Neodiprion lecontei: one gene and its partners. The protein of the gene in region 2 purifies or fractionates together with the protein of the main gene of each other region. This does not show direct contact. Links are inferred from orthologs where the notes say so. Each region holds a gene or a part of one and is shown on either strand. Other genes may lie near its edges. The genes, in order: protein mahjong, COP9 signalosome complex subunit 6 and cullin-5.

Region 1 (5,520 bases), on a different chromosome or scaffold from region 2:
AGAGTAAAGCAAATGTGTGGAATTGAATCATTGATAAGGATAACCACAAAATTTGATGAATTAGCATGCAATTTTACCTTATATGGAGGTAGAGATGGTTGCCAGGTATCTCTTTCTGTTCTGGCATTTTCAGCTCGTTGTAGTTGTTCTGCTTTTACATATAAATGAACCTCCATGTACCTTTTCAGTGCTACAGCAACATGTCTTACTATTTGTCTTGACGCACATTCTTCATCATCATTCAAAGCCGGGTCATCATCAATGTTTAGAATGGGTAATGTAGATATCTAATGTAAATCAGGAAATACATGTCTCAAAAATAATGATGATAATAATAATAATAAGATTTAGCAAATGCAATATAGTATTCTCACATTGCAAACCCCAAATTAATGCGACATACATTTTCACAATCACAGAAATGAATGAAATTACTGATTGTTCTAGTTTTGGAATTAAACTGTCATTTTTTTCTCGTTCAAAATGGTGGTTTGTGTATAATGACTTTATTATGTCTCGCAAAACACTGCAGTTTGATATTAAGTTCATATACTCACAACATTGTATAATTTCCTAAGTCCATCTTGGAGATCAAATTCTTCCAGAATAACTTTGAAAGGAAATGAAAATCCAAAGAACATTGTTGCATGACATCTACCAGAATCGTGACTTCTCTCCAGTAACCACAATGCATATTTCACTAAATCGGTTATTATATGTTTCGGTAAGAGACAAACTCTTTCCATAGCATCCTCACAGTATGCAAGATAATACAAACAAATAGAAACACCAGTTGCCGCGACACTGGGTCTTGGTACATCTAAGAGTTTTTGTAATCCACCCATACTTAGGAACTCGATAGAAAATTTTTTATGACACAGTAAAGATGCTAAGTATTTTAAAGCTTCAAAAGCTAAGCGACTATCCTTTGTTTCCCGTACATTTATGTAGTTTAATATCAATTCCAAAGCGTTTTGCTCGAATACGTGCCCAAGAAATTCTTGGTATTCTCCCATTGGTGTGAGGTACCTTAAAATCAGCATCTGACGAGTAGCCAAAGTGGGCGGATGTATTTGAACATTGCCAATAACGTAAGACTCCATTTCAGCCCAGGACGAATTCGAATTACCTTCTAGAAGCAAGGAAGGCGGGTTGATTACTTGAGTCTGAGGTTTAGACAAATTAGATCTACCAGATGCCAATATGTTGACAGGTCTTGGTGGTGTTACACGAGTGTTTTGATTCTTCGCTGGTGTAACTTGTAAAGTTGTATAGGTAGTTATACGAGGAATAGATAACGGTGGGGACATAATCTCGGGGTATGAATCTCTGGTGTTATCGTTAGATTTAACAGGTGTTAAAACAGCATTTTCCATGTTATTTTGAGACTTGAGTTTTTTGCTTGGTGGCATTTCGTCCGAACTTTGAATCGAGTCTTCTTCATCTGAGCAAAAAATTGAGTGCGTAGGGCTTTTCATTGTTCCATTTTCATGTTTCTTCTCTCTCACTTTCCGTTTTCCAGGAGTACCTTTGTGTTCAGTATCACCCAGGCTATTTCTATTCTGACCAAAATGTGCAAATGGTCTTGTGTTAACTGCTGCATGACGATTTTCCAAAGCTTTTTCTTGTAGCTTGTGTAATCTTTGCAGCATCAAAGGCACCATTTTACCATTCTGTTCTCTAAATCCTGTAGCAATGTCTTGAACTTCCATTGCAGCAGCTAACAAACCGGTGGCATAACTTTGTAAAGGCTCTATGCTTTTTTCAGCCCACGAAAAAAGCCTATGGATAAGCCCATCCATATCGGGTTGAAACACTGCTGATGTTTCTAGGCCTGGCAATATGTCCAACATCAAACGGCAGGCTGCAATATTCAACTTTCGCACATCACGACCGTTAATACCTGACCGTGTCCAGTACGTGTCTCTTAGATAATCATTTATCAGCTGTAACACAAATCATTGAATTGAATTTTTCCAAATAGTCAAATGACAGATCGAAAATATGTTTCGGATAAAGACTCAACAATTGTTCAAAGCTGATGTTTGAGACAGACAAGTTTGTTTTGTCCCTGATTTCATTACTCACATTGGATGTAAGAAATTATTAGATTTGATATGGTTTCAATGCTGTTATCATTTGTTTCAAAAAATTACACAATAAATATGGAACAAGGTACTACCTTTGTCATGAAGTTGTCCTTTCTAAACAAAACTTTCAAAATATGTCCAAAATTACATTCTGGATCAGTGCGTGAAGGGTGCCTTTCGTCAAATGGATCTGGATCCATTTTTAAGTAATTTTCTGTCTCTATTTCTATAATTTCAGCCAAACGTTGCAATGTTGGTATTGGATCATACGTCGGTGAAACATGGTCTTCTTCCCACTGACGCAGAATTTGAACAACATCTGTTACTTCCGCAAGTGATTCTACTGTCGCCATGACTTTTGTTCTATCAAAGTAAAGATACAAGGAAAAATTAAAGCAGAATTGTCTGAATCATGAAAAATTACCTTGTACTCATATGAGCCATTGAGACTTTCAAATGAATAAAATTCATTGGAATTACAAACCAGGAAATAATTGATATTTGTAAATAGTTATTCAAATGCAACCTTTTAACACAATTTTGCTGAGCCATGTTTATTTTTGATTTTGGAATAAGGTCTTTGAAGAATCTGCTAATAATGAATACGACTCGTTAATTTTAAGCAAAGGATAAGCCATGTACTTAATTTGCAAAAGTGTACAGTTTTGTAACGGAAGGTTCCACAACTCGAAAAAACGAACATAACACCGAAGACTCTAACCTTAAATAACAGAATTCCGAGATTAAAGTATGATCTATCAAAGCGTAATAAAATTATTAACTATACTAGACATATTACAGGTATCGCAAAATGTAACTCCTATTTATTAAAGGGAGTGATACAACAACTGCTTGACATATCTGTGCCTCTTAAATCTTGTACAGAAATGTTACCAGATGTATAGGTTAGGTTAGGTTAAAACAACAAGTTTTTCAAGTACCAACGACTATGACAGCTTTCAAAATTGTACCTTATTGATGTTAAATTACCAAGAAAGTTTAATCAACGTTTTTCGATAGCAAACAACCTATATCCCTTCTAATTGCCCAAAATATTTTGTTAAAACGCACATACAAGACTGTCGCCACCGACACAAGCTTCGACTGCCGAACGCGGTCTGCACATGGCCAAATTTATGATTCATGCACACGATTCGTTTGCGTGCGAAAGGTCAAATTCAGATCAATGTGTTTGTAGGTAATGTCGGGATGACCAGCTATCGTCACTTATGTTAGGTTTTTCAGGGAAAATGGTCACTGGGCGATATCAAACTCGAAAAACCAAAATATTTGTCATCAATTATTCAATTTTTGGAATTTTTTTTTGACATTTCGCGCCCCAAGACTTGACCTGGCAGAGCTCCTACGCCAATGAGAACAAAGAACGACATCCACGTGATCTATATCGACGAATCGTGAATGAACAAATTTAAAATTATGCTTCTGCGTCAAAGTGAAACATAACCGTAAAATATGCGACAAGAACATAACCTACACCGTGTATATTTCAAATTTACACTGTGTTCATACGGTTCATACGAAACAATAATTCAGAGCGATGAGCGGAGGTGTTGCTCCGAGTAAATCAACGGTTTACGTTTCTAACTTGCCCTTTTCTCTGACTAATAATGACATACACAAGCTTCTCGAAACGTACGGAAAGATCGTCAAGTGAGTGATCACTTCGAAAATTAATGATGCAACTTGTTAACTATTTAATAAACTTTTGGAATTTCAGTATTTCGTAATTACCATACACGCATTCACTTTTCTCTTTTATCTTTACCCAGAGAAACATATATAATATCTTATCTAATGTATTGAATCTATAATTGTAGCTAACTTAAACAGTTGATTAAAATGTGATTTTATGAATTGCAGAGTTACTGTGTTGAAAGACAAGATGACTAGACGCAGCAAGGGTGTTGCATTCGTCTTATTTCTCACACGTGAAGATGCCATTACTTGTGCAAAGACTCTAAATAATACTGAGGTAAAATATATATCAATATCATATGTTTGTCTTACTATCATAACTTATTTTAATAATGAATATACATCTCACACAAAATGAAGAAAATTTTCTATTCTCAGATTGGTGGCCGTACTGTGAAAAGCTCCATAGCCGTGGATAATGGACGCAGTACTGAATTCATTCGACGAAAGGATTATCCAGACAAATCTCAGTGTTACGAGTGTGGTGAAGAAGGGCATCTGTCGTACCAATGCTCTCAAAATACTTTGGGCCCCAGAGAACCTCCACCAAAAAAAATCAGAATTAGAAAAAAAAATAAAGATCAAGCAAAAGGCGATACCTCATATTATGATAGTGACAGTGACGAAGGCTTGAGAGAACCAGGTGGTGTTGGGGACTCTGAGACAATATATGACAATGCAGTGGCTGAATCAGATTTAGAAACTTTGAGTGCTGCTATACATCACGAGGTAGGAAATTGTGTCATTTGGAAAGTTTTTAATCTTAAATGCACTTTTTAGATTCTTATTTGATCATTTTATTTCAGCAAGAACAAGAGGAACTTGCAAAGTATAGGTTCCAAGTTGCAACTGGCCAGTACGAAGAGCCAAGACAGGAATCTTCGAAACCTAAAAAACGTTTTAAAAAAAATAATTACTTTAGTGATGAAGAGGAACTAAGTGATTGAGAATAATTGAGATTTGTTTCGAAATGGATATTCCTTACATATTTTATTTTGAAAACGAGTTATGTTACAAAATTGAACTCAAATTTTTGAAAGTACAAAACATTATTCTATATTATAATAAAATATACTATAACTTTGGTCTATGTACATTTCCAGATACGAGCACCGCTTGCCTCGTCTCATCTTGAATGTTGCTTTTGGGTGACCATTGCCTTTAAAACTTTCATACTGTAACCAGTAAGTAATTGTTAAATCATAATAAGAAATATTATGCGCATGCTAACATTTTTTAAAACTGACTATAGTCCTACCAAGTTTAAAAAATTTCAATACCAAAAGCATGAAACTATATGCAAGTGTATGAACCTAGGAAGAGTCACATTCGTTACTGAATTTTCAACAACACTATCGATTATTTAATGTAAATAAATGCCAATAATCTATGACTGACATTGTAATTACAAGTGTTTATTCTTTGCACAAATATAAGTTTTTACAAATTCTTCGTTTATTCATTTACTATGTCAGCAGAAATGACTTAATCACAGGTTCCCATGACTTTCTTGGGGAACCACATATTTCAATTATTTAGAACAAGTAAATATAAAGAATACTCAATTAATTACGATTTTTTTTTTCACCTTTCCGCCACATTCTCCGGTTTTGAAACGGATTGAAAATATGACTTGACATGCCACTCTATTTCGCATTATTTCTGCGTGCAGAAATTGACCTACTGATTGACTGCTTTTTGGAAATAACTTCTG
Region 2 (3,600 bases):
TGTGGTTTATTTAGTTCGATCATACAATTTATGTACTGATTGATTATGATTCCAAATACTTGTAGTATCAATATATATAAATATCAGTTTTGTTGTAAAATAACCATAAGAAAAATATCGAAAATTAACGGCAAGCAAAAACAATTTCAATAAATTTTTGTTAGTGAACAATCATCATCATCTGTTATCCTATACATAATGCATAAAACCACGAAGGCTTACCGATATTGCTGTATAAGCATGTATACAGATGAGTAGAGTTAGCCCATAGGGGAAATTGAACGTTACTACATAAAAAATATATTACTTAATCCTCAATTAAATTCATACAACAAAGTGAATATTCCATATGAAAATAAAAATAATTCTATACACCAGATTTGAATTATAATTTAATATTGTAATATTAAATCTTAACCGTTACTTATAAACCGAATAGCAACCTTACTCTTTCAAGAATCATATGCACAGCAGTTGCACAGCCTTAAAAAAAACGTTGTTCATTGACTAGAGATACAATGATGTTCGACTAAATTCTGAAAACAATGGTCTTGAACAAAATTGTGAGATACAATGTTTTTGAATCAAATTATTAAATATGATGTTGTTGATGTCGTTCTGCTCAGTAGTAAAATTTATACATATGAGGTATTCTATACCAACTTAACCAACATTGGACGCTTACCATTTCTAATCTTGTTTAAACATTTTTATGGAATTGTACCAAATCCATAACAGTACCCCGAATTTTTTCAGATTTTTTGGACTGAAAGTTGCTTTACTTGCGTTTTTTAAAATCAACATGTTTTTGACCTTAATTTAGAAATCTGAAAAGATTCTCAAAAATCATGTGTCAGACATTAAAATTTTTGAGCTTAAACCCTGAGTGGGTCGACATTCCCTTCTTATTTTTTTTCGAGATTTCTTGAAGAAAACTAATTGAAAAAAAAAGAAGCAATTGTCATTCTTTTGTGAGAAATTTTCAGTCATTTGTTGGCAAAAATTTTAATATGTAACGCGTACTATTTAAGAATTCTTAAGATTTTTTTAAACTCATTAATTATTAACAATTTTTTCATTTGGAACAAAAATTTGGAATCTGAAAAAATTCTTAAAAATCCTGGGTTGTGTATAAAAATGTTTGAGCAGCGGCCCACAAAAGACTGACAATTGCATCTATTTTTTTTTTTTATTTAAGAAACTTAAAAAAGAGTAGAAGCAAATGCCAGCCTAATCCGGATCTAGGCTTAAAAATTTCGATACTTGACACAAGATGGTTGTGAATTTTTTGGCATATTTAAATTACGGCCAATGACATTTAGGTTTTCAAAAATCATAAGTAAACAAATTTACTCAGAAAAATCTGACCAAGGTCGGGATCCTGTTTTGGAGTTGGGACAATTCTATGAAAAGTTTTTGACCAAAATGACAAAAGGTGAGGTCTGGAAGTTGGTTAAGTTGGTGTGGAATATCCCATTTATATCTTTGGGTACTGTACCCTAAGAAATTTCCTGAAATACTTGAAACATTTTCCAACTGTAAAATTTCCACAGTATGTATTGTGAGATTTTACAGATTTCTGACCATTGCTGCTTTTCTGCAATGTCATAAATTTCATTATGTTTCTAGAACTTGCAGCACTATTTAGATCGTTGAATACACATTCTGTAATAATACAGTGATGGATTGGACATGTTTTGGAGCAGAAAATGTATGGAAAGAGATTGTTACATAGTAAACACTTACTTCTGTATGTTTACACCTCGGGTCTAACTTAAGTAGCACAGGACATTCGTTAATTTCGCATAGCTGTTTGTGTACCCTGATGTCTCTGTCTGTTGGGGCATCTCCTGTTGTGTACCACCCGAGAAAATCCATTTCACTAAACACCTGCTTGAACTGTTCTTCTTTCGTATTGTAGTAATCTCGATCAATGACAACATCGTCACCGATAGATGTAAACAAGAGCTCGAAAGAATTCATTATCTCTATGTTACGTCCCTTCTGTTTACCGATCAGTGCTCCGTAAACTGTAAGAATTAATAAATAATTAATACAAACACTATGCATTAGAGTGTAAATCATTCAGGTTTCAACATGCATCGTTCTCTTGTAATCGAACTTACAGAACTTTATTTGCGCATTATCGAATCATGTTAGATTAGGGTATATTCTGCCACCGTGATCATAGCACACCATAAACTGACTTCAGGGCACTGAAGTAAAAAGTTGTATTCTATTACACTCACCCAGTTGATCAGAGCCTTCCTGTGCCCTGAGCCTCGTCCAATGTTCACTAACATTCATTATGACGAGAGGATGCAAACTGATTGACACTGAGCCGACAGTCCCAGACGAGGCCATCACGCTCTTCACGTTACTTGTGACTGGGGTTGTATCCATCGCGCTAACAACGTTGCTTTCTTCTACCTCCATTTCACTAAACGACGGCTCGCTCATTTTGGTATATTTTTACGCTCAAACTAGCAAACACGACAGTTTTATCTATACTCTTTACTTACTGATGGCTGGTGGCTACAAAGGCGTAAATACTACAAAGTACCGTCTACGACAGCCTGCGGCGAGTTGTGAAACAATCGTTGGTTTAGACCGTTGGGAGTTAAGACTGGTTGAGACCCTATTGCCCTATTCTGTATTTATCTGAATAGCTAATTTCTATGGCAGCCTGTGCTACCAATTTATAACTTTTGAAGCGCCTCGAGTCAGCCTAGTTACCACCCAGGGAACTGACGTAGTAATGTGTGCGCATGCCTGAACGCGGGAAAAGTCAAACGTTTTATACTGCGTACGAAACTACCTTGTATTTAAAATCTGTCAAAGTGAAGAATGTATAATTGTAGTGGTATAAAAGAAATATATATTATGATCGCATACGAATTCTGCCATATGCGACCAGAAAAGTGGAAAGATTTATCGTTTTTCGAATAATAGAGGCAAAAAAGTTGATGATCTCGAGAGTAGAGTATAACGTAGCGTTTGCAGTCGCAGGGGTTTTCTGAAATATAAGGAACTTACCATGGTCCTTCGTTGAAGGGATAACTACAACGGCACTCACCATGAAACTAGATTTCGAACTAATTTTTTTCAGGCACACTACTATACTTTCTACTTTCAGAGATGGTTATCACGTTGCAAACAAAATTGTACATATGAATTTTTTTAGTTTTCCCATTTACTAATTAATTTTCCAGAATTTTAGAATTAACGCCGTTCATGGATATAAAGGAGTTATTAAGTCTGCAAGATTCATCTCATAATATTCTCTTACGTACATATATCCGGGTTATTTCTAATAATGAAGAATTCAATCAAGTGTTCGCTTATTAGTATTTACACGGTATAAAATAACGTATGAACTTTGGTTAAAACCCAGAAAGATCAGATACAGCTTTAACTAGAAGAAATCATTTGTATATACATATTATTCAGTGTACTATTGTTGGCAGCAAACAAGCGGTATTTTTGAAGTTTTCTATTACCTTTTACACGTAATCAGATAACAGGAAAAGTAAATGACTTCATTTTAAGAATTATGAGAGACAGTGGTTATTTATTAGAATATTTCATCTCAGTATAAAA
Region 3 (5,520 bases), on a different chromosome or scaffold from region 2:
AATTAAATTTAATAAGGTAATGTTTAATTTTCTCTACTCTTTGTTATAAATAACTCTACATAATTGGACATGCATATTAAAATTTGTTGTATGTTTTTACATTTTTTATAGCACAATTTTTTATACTTTAATGGAAGTCGTACTCGTATATAATAGATAAGTGAATGAATGACAGTTGCATAATTACCTGTTGTCTTTCTGGTATGATCCCGGCAACACTGCCTAAGGTACGCAGAGTAAGCGCTCTTGCAACTGGATCGTTGGAATGAATAACGCTAAAAATTCGTCTGACAAATTCATCAACATTAAGAATTTTGTCCAAGTGTTTTTCACTTTGTTGGCAAACCCTCAATACCCAGACGCGCAGAAAGTTGCTGCCTATCCGAAAGACGTCAGCCAACTTGAGCAGCGAAGAGTTTATCAGGATTGGAAAAGGATATTTTTCGAATAGGCGGGGAAATCGTACGATAGCTTCGCACTGCTCCCCTATCTTGTTCGACCGAAGACCTAAAACATTAAAACTTTGTCACAGGATGTCCAGATTTCCCGAATAGTTTAGAAATTTGAATTTTTAATCATCCAGTCATTCGGCCCGTTAAAGGGTTAAGATTTTTTCATCTGTAAACACAAGCTGTTACTCTCATCACTATCAAGTGTTCGACAATTTATTACTGACTTGTTTGAAAATTTCAATCAACTTTAGCATTAAATTTGGATGCTATAGAGTTTTATCTATGTTGAATAAAAATTCCGATACGAATTGTTCTGTAATAACACCGAATATTTGTTTGAAAACCAGAAATGCATAAGCTAACCTCAAATTCAATAACACGTCATATCCCGGCGAAGATTCTAACATTTTTGAGCATTCGAGTAGTCCTACAGGAAGTAAGATTGAGGAGAATATTAAGACTACGAAGATGCTGCAAATTTAGTTAATCTTCTGCCTTACCATCGAAATTCAACGTGGTAGCTTTGACAATCAAAGTAGTTAACCTACAATTTTGATTTTGCAATTACCTTTATCCAGCTCGATTAGAGCTGAATTTGCATCTTGCTCCGGCTCTCCTAAACCTGTATCGTTGAATGCGTTCATCCTCATGCCGATCATCTTACAAAATGATGTATTTTATTTCAGTTTTATAGAAATTGAAAACGTTTGCTCTTTTCCGGCACTATCCAAATATGTTTACTTCTGCAGTGAGTACAAAATATAATTACTACCCGTAAGGTCCCTAGGCAATTTTCAGTTTATCGATATGGCTCGAAGTTTGAATCTCCAGAAGAAGTGACATTTCCATATAGTGTAAATATTATGTTTGCCATTATCTGACGATCCTAATTAACTAATTGCTTTCGATATTCCGTTTTCAAAGAAACAATTCAATCGAATTTAATTGTTCGCTGATAACGAAATAAAATTATTCTTTTCAAATGGCTGCAGGGCTGTCTCACTGGTGCCTGGCAGAGAGAATCCTGAGAGAGCCCACCGTGCACGTCTTTTGTGTTCTCTATTTTGTAGCGCTATCAATCACGAGATAGGTATTTGGAACAAATCTTCGAGGTGCATGTTCAGTAATCGAATGTCGGTAAGCGATTAGCATTCTACCGTATTTAGAATCACGGGGGCCGTAAATGTTTGTAAATTGTTCAGTTTCGTCCGTTTCGTCTACGACCGGGTATCAGGGTGTTCTATATCTTATGCTGACAACGGCAGAGTTCAGTCCACGGCAGAGTATTGGTCACCTACTGACACATGCTTACCGACCGATCACCGTGGAAATTAGTCCTAAAAATGAATTTCTCATAGAGGGCGCTATGATATCAGGGACACGAAAAATGCTAGTGTAGGCCATCTCAGGCTCCTCGCTGCAGCTGGCTTTGAAGAAAATGGGGGAAAGCAACTAGTTATAACATGTCAAAAACTAGTGTGGCGGCGATGTTAAAGGTTAGTTGTCATTAAATAACCGCAAATAATAGGTAAACGGTGAAGGGATTTTGCTAATGACGGAGAAAATATCAATCACCAACAACTGAGTAGACCCAAATTTTGGGCGAACGAATTCCCATGATACTCGAGCTATTCGACTGAAAATGACTCATCTGGCATTGAAAATCAAATTCGATCACTGAACAAACCGCCGATATTGAGTGAATTGCGACTAAGCTGATACTATTCATCACGAAATATTCAAAATTTCTCACCTGCGTGCCTACTGATCTCGTTTTTCATCGTCTATTTATGCAGGACCGGAATCAGTTTAGCTTCGCAGGAAAATGGCCATGCATGCGCCCAGTAATATTGAAATTACTGAAACAAGAAGCTGTTACACAAGGGGAATGGCAGGATCTATTTTATTCAGTTCACTTGGTCTGCCTATGGGACGACAAAGGTCCTCCCAAATTAAGGGACACTCTCAAAGTGGACATAATGGATTTCATACAACAAGCACAGCAGGTAATCAATGTTGTAATTAGCATTTTCCCTCTCGGAATCTGCGAGTGACTCGCTTCCAATTTATGTATGTTATAATCCTTGCCTTACGTTGATTCAGAGAGTATTGGCGCATCAGGAAGAGCAGGCGTTGCTTAAAGCCTACATAACTGAATGGCGCAAATTTTTTACCCAATGTAATTATTTGCCAACACCGTTTAGGCAACTGGAAACTTCGCTTGCTGGAAAGACTACTACACAGAAAAGGAATCAAGCGGAGGAAAGTATAGTTAGAAAGGTAATACTCATTCCTTATTTTTGATGGATTTCTGCTGCTAGATTTATTAATCAAGTCAATATTTATTTCTGAGCAATAGTTGATGCTGGACAGTTGGAACCAGAGTATATTTGGAGACATAAAACAAAGGCTACAGGATTCAGCCATGAAGCTGGTGCGGGCGGAAAGAAATGGGGAGGCGTTTGATTCGCAGTTGGTCATTGGTGTTAGAGAATCTTATGGTGAGGCCTATGCAAGTGAAAGAGGAGTTTTCAGTAAAAACAAATGGGAATTAAAAAGAAAATTTCACAATTAATTCAATCAAACACATTATTGATTCAACAATAGTTATTGTAAGAATAATATTGTCTCAAACAAAACTTGAACTATGATCTGAAGTGGAAAACTTGATGTAGAACGTTTTATAGGATGTCTTGTTAAAATAAATCCTGACTTATATTTCAAGAAATTAAAAGTAAAGTTGAAGATTAATTGTTAATTTCACTTTTATCTCTTACAGTTAATCTGTGTTCAAATACAATGGACAAGCTGCAAATATACAGAGATAATTTTGAGGCATCGTACATAAAAGCCACGGAAGAATTTTACAAAATAAAAGCTCCTGAGCAACTTTCTCTGCATGGAGTAGAGACTTACATGCGATATGCAGAGGTAAAGTTGAGAGAAGAAGAATTGAGAGCTCAAAAATATTTGGAGCCAAATAGTGCAAGTGTACAGTTGTTGACGGATTGCTGTGTTTCTGTACTTGTCGCTACCTTCAAGTCAGCCATCCTTGCCGAATGTCCTCGCATGATTCAGCATCATGAAACAGAAAGTAATTTGAGAAAGAGACTAATAATCTTAGACAATATAAACTTTGCTAACATTAAATACATTACAAATTTTTCACACAATTTTTATTTACAGAGCTCAGACTCATGCTCAAGTTGATGGATCGCGTACCAGATGGAGTGAGTCCAATGTTAAAAGACCTGGAAGATCACATAGCGAGTGCCGGTCTTGCCGATATGATGGCAGCAGTCGATGTGATAACCCAAGACTCTGAAAAATACGTAGAAAGATTGTTGGATCTCTTTAGACGATTTTCTACTCTGGTTAAGGAGGCGTTTGACGACGATCCGCGATTCCTCACAGCCAGAGACAAGGCATATAAATTAGTTGTCAATGATTCAACTGTATTCAGACTTGAACTGCCTGTTAGACAAGGTACCGGTGTAACTGCTCCAGTCATCCCAACTAAACCTGTAAACAGCAATAATGGACAGCCAGAATCCAAGTGTCCTGAACTACTGGCAAATTACTGCGATATGTTGCTCAGAAAAACACCGTTAAGTAAGAAACTTACTTCGGATGAAATCGAGAGCAAACTTCGGGACGTGGTGAGCTCAGTTGTGTTTCATATATTTCCAGGGGATGTTTAAGTGCTATTGGCTAAGTGCTTTGTGATAATTGAAGTGAAATGTAAACATCACAATATTCAAATTTTATTCTAGCTGCTCGTGCTAAAGTACGTTCAAAACAAAGACGTATTCATGAGATACCATAAGGCTCACCTCACTCGGAGATTGATTCTGGATACTTCAGCAGATTCTGAGAAGGAAGAAAATATGGTGGAGTGGTTACGAGAAGTCGGCATGCCTGCGGACTATGTAAATAAATTAGCACGCATGTTCCAAGACGTCAAAATTTCCCAAGATCTCAATCAACAATTCAAAGAACAGTGCCGCGCTACCATTGCCGACAGCATTAATATAAAGGTGAAGCAAATCAAGTCGTTGTTTTTTTTTTTTTTATTATAGGAGTCGTACTTTCGTTTCTCCACTATTCACCCTGTTCACTGTCTTACATTATACAAAATATATTTATCAATTATTTATATGCATTTTGCAATAGATATTGAATGCTGGCGCATGGGCAAGAGGCAGCGAGCGTGTCACTGTCAGTTTACCCCTTCAATTAGAAGATTACATCCCCGAAGTTGAAGAGTTTTACAAAAAGAAGCACAGTGGCCGTAAACTGCAATGGTATCATCACATGTCAAATGGAACGGTAAATGCATTTACATTTATAAGAAGTTGATTTAAAAACTTTTCTTAGCACTATGTGCGAATTACAATCCAGTTTGTAGTCTAAGTAAACATCAATACTGCACAATCTCAAAGATTCAAACAGGCAATAACATAAAATGAGTTTACAGATAACATTTTGCAATAAAATGGGGCGATTTGATGTTGACGTGACAACATTTCAAATGGCTGTTCTATTTGCTTGGAATCAACGACCTTTCGAAAAGATTTCATACGAAAATCTTCGATTAGCAACCGAGTTACCAGATACAGAATTAAGGCGTACACTGTGGTCGTTGTGCGCTTTTCCTAAACTTAGACGTCAACTCCTTCTAGTCGAACCTAGCACTTACAGCCCGAAAGAATTCGCGCATGACACTCGTTTCTGGGTGAATCACGAGTTTGCTATTGTGTGAGTAAAAATAAATGAGTGAAATCTCCGAATAATCAGACGGAAATAATGTGTACTTATTCCTAATCGAAATAAATTATCATTTGTTAGAAAAAATGGAAAGTTGCAGAAGAGGGGGAAGATTAATTTGATTGGTCGGTTACAACTGTCAACTGAGCGAAGCAAAGAAGAGGACAACCAATCTATCGTACAGCTAAGGATATTGCGAGTACAGGTATGATTTTTCTAATGTCGAACAAAAAAAAGAGAGTGAAAAGAACATTTCGATGTTTAGATTGTTCTCGAATTAATTCGTTTTAATATTTTACAG

Evidence for each region.
Region 1: the proteins of COP9 signalosome complex subunit 6 (region 2) and protein mahjong purify together in Homo sapiens (affinity purification with mass spectrometry; 7 studies listed by BioGRID and IntAct, with this or other methods). This does not show direct contact. The link is inferred for Neodiprion lecontei from reciprocal best matches to the Homo sapiens genes COPS6 and DCAF1.
Region 3: the proteins of COP9 signalosome complex subunit 6 (region 2) and cullin-5 purify together in Homo sapiens (affinity purification with mass spectrometry; 5 studies listed by BioGRID and IntAct, with this or other methods). This does not show direct contact. The link is inferred for Neodiprion lecontei from reciprocal best matches to the Homo sapiens genes COPS6 and CUL5.

The regions. Positions count from the first base shown.
Region 1 is NC_060260.1:28,672,635-28,678,154, reverse strand, and holds the start of protein mahjong, read right to left. Parts: upstream 3,251-5,520; 5' UTR 3,236-3,250; coding exon 3,162-3,235; exon of another isoform or gene 3,032-3,161; intron 2,786-3,031; exon of another isoform or gene 2,643-2,785; coding exon of another isoform or gene 2,617-2,642; intron 2,454-2,616; coding exon 2,183-2,453; intron 1,947-2,182; coding exon 558-1,946; intron 288-557; coding exon 78-287; intron 1-77. Other genes in the region: uncharacterized protein LOC107223374, read right to left, coding at 5,453-5,520. UniProt on the Homo sapiens protein: Acts both as a substrate recognition component of E3 ubiquitin-protein ligase complexes and as an atypical serine/threonine-protein kinase, playing key roles in various processes such as cell cycle, telomerase regulation and histone modification.
Region 2 is NC_060261.1:28,662,731-28,666,330, reverse strand, and holds the start of COP9 signalosome complex subunit 6, read right to left. Parts: upstream 2,675-3,600; 5' UTR 2,461-2,674; coding exon 2,250-2,460; intron 2,031-2,249; coding exon 1,747-2,030; intron 1-1,746. UniProt on the Homo sapiens protein: Component of the COP9 signalosome complex (CSN), a complex involved in various cellular and developmental processes.
Region 3 is NC_060266.1:20,108,169-20,113,688, reverse strand, and holds the start of cullin-5, read left to right. Parts: upstream 1-1,854; 5' UTR 1,855-1,915; coding exon 1,916-1,948; intron 1,949-2,248; coding exon 2,249-2,458; intron 2,459-2,555; coding exon 2,556-2,732; intron 2,733-2,811; coding exon 2,812-2,953; intron 2,954-3,231; coding exon 3,232-3,546; intron 3,547-3,638; coding exon 3,639-4,111; intron 4,112-4,225; coding exon 4,226-4,489; intron 4,490-4,625; coding exon 4,626-4,781; intron 4,782-4,929; coding exon 4,930-5,210; intron 5,211-5,300; coding exon 5,301-5,424; intron 5,425-5,520. Other genes in the region: integrator complex subunit 7, read right to left, coding at 188-507, 1,021-1,111. UniProt on the Homo sapiens protein: Core component of multiple cullin-5-RING E3 ubiquitin-protein ligase complexes (ECS complexes, also named CRL5 complexes), which mediate the ubiquitination and subsequent proteasomal degradation of target proteins.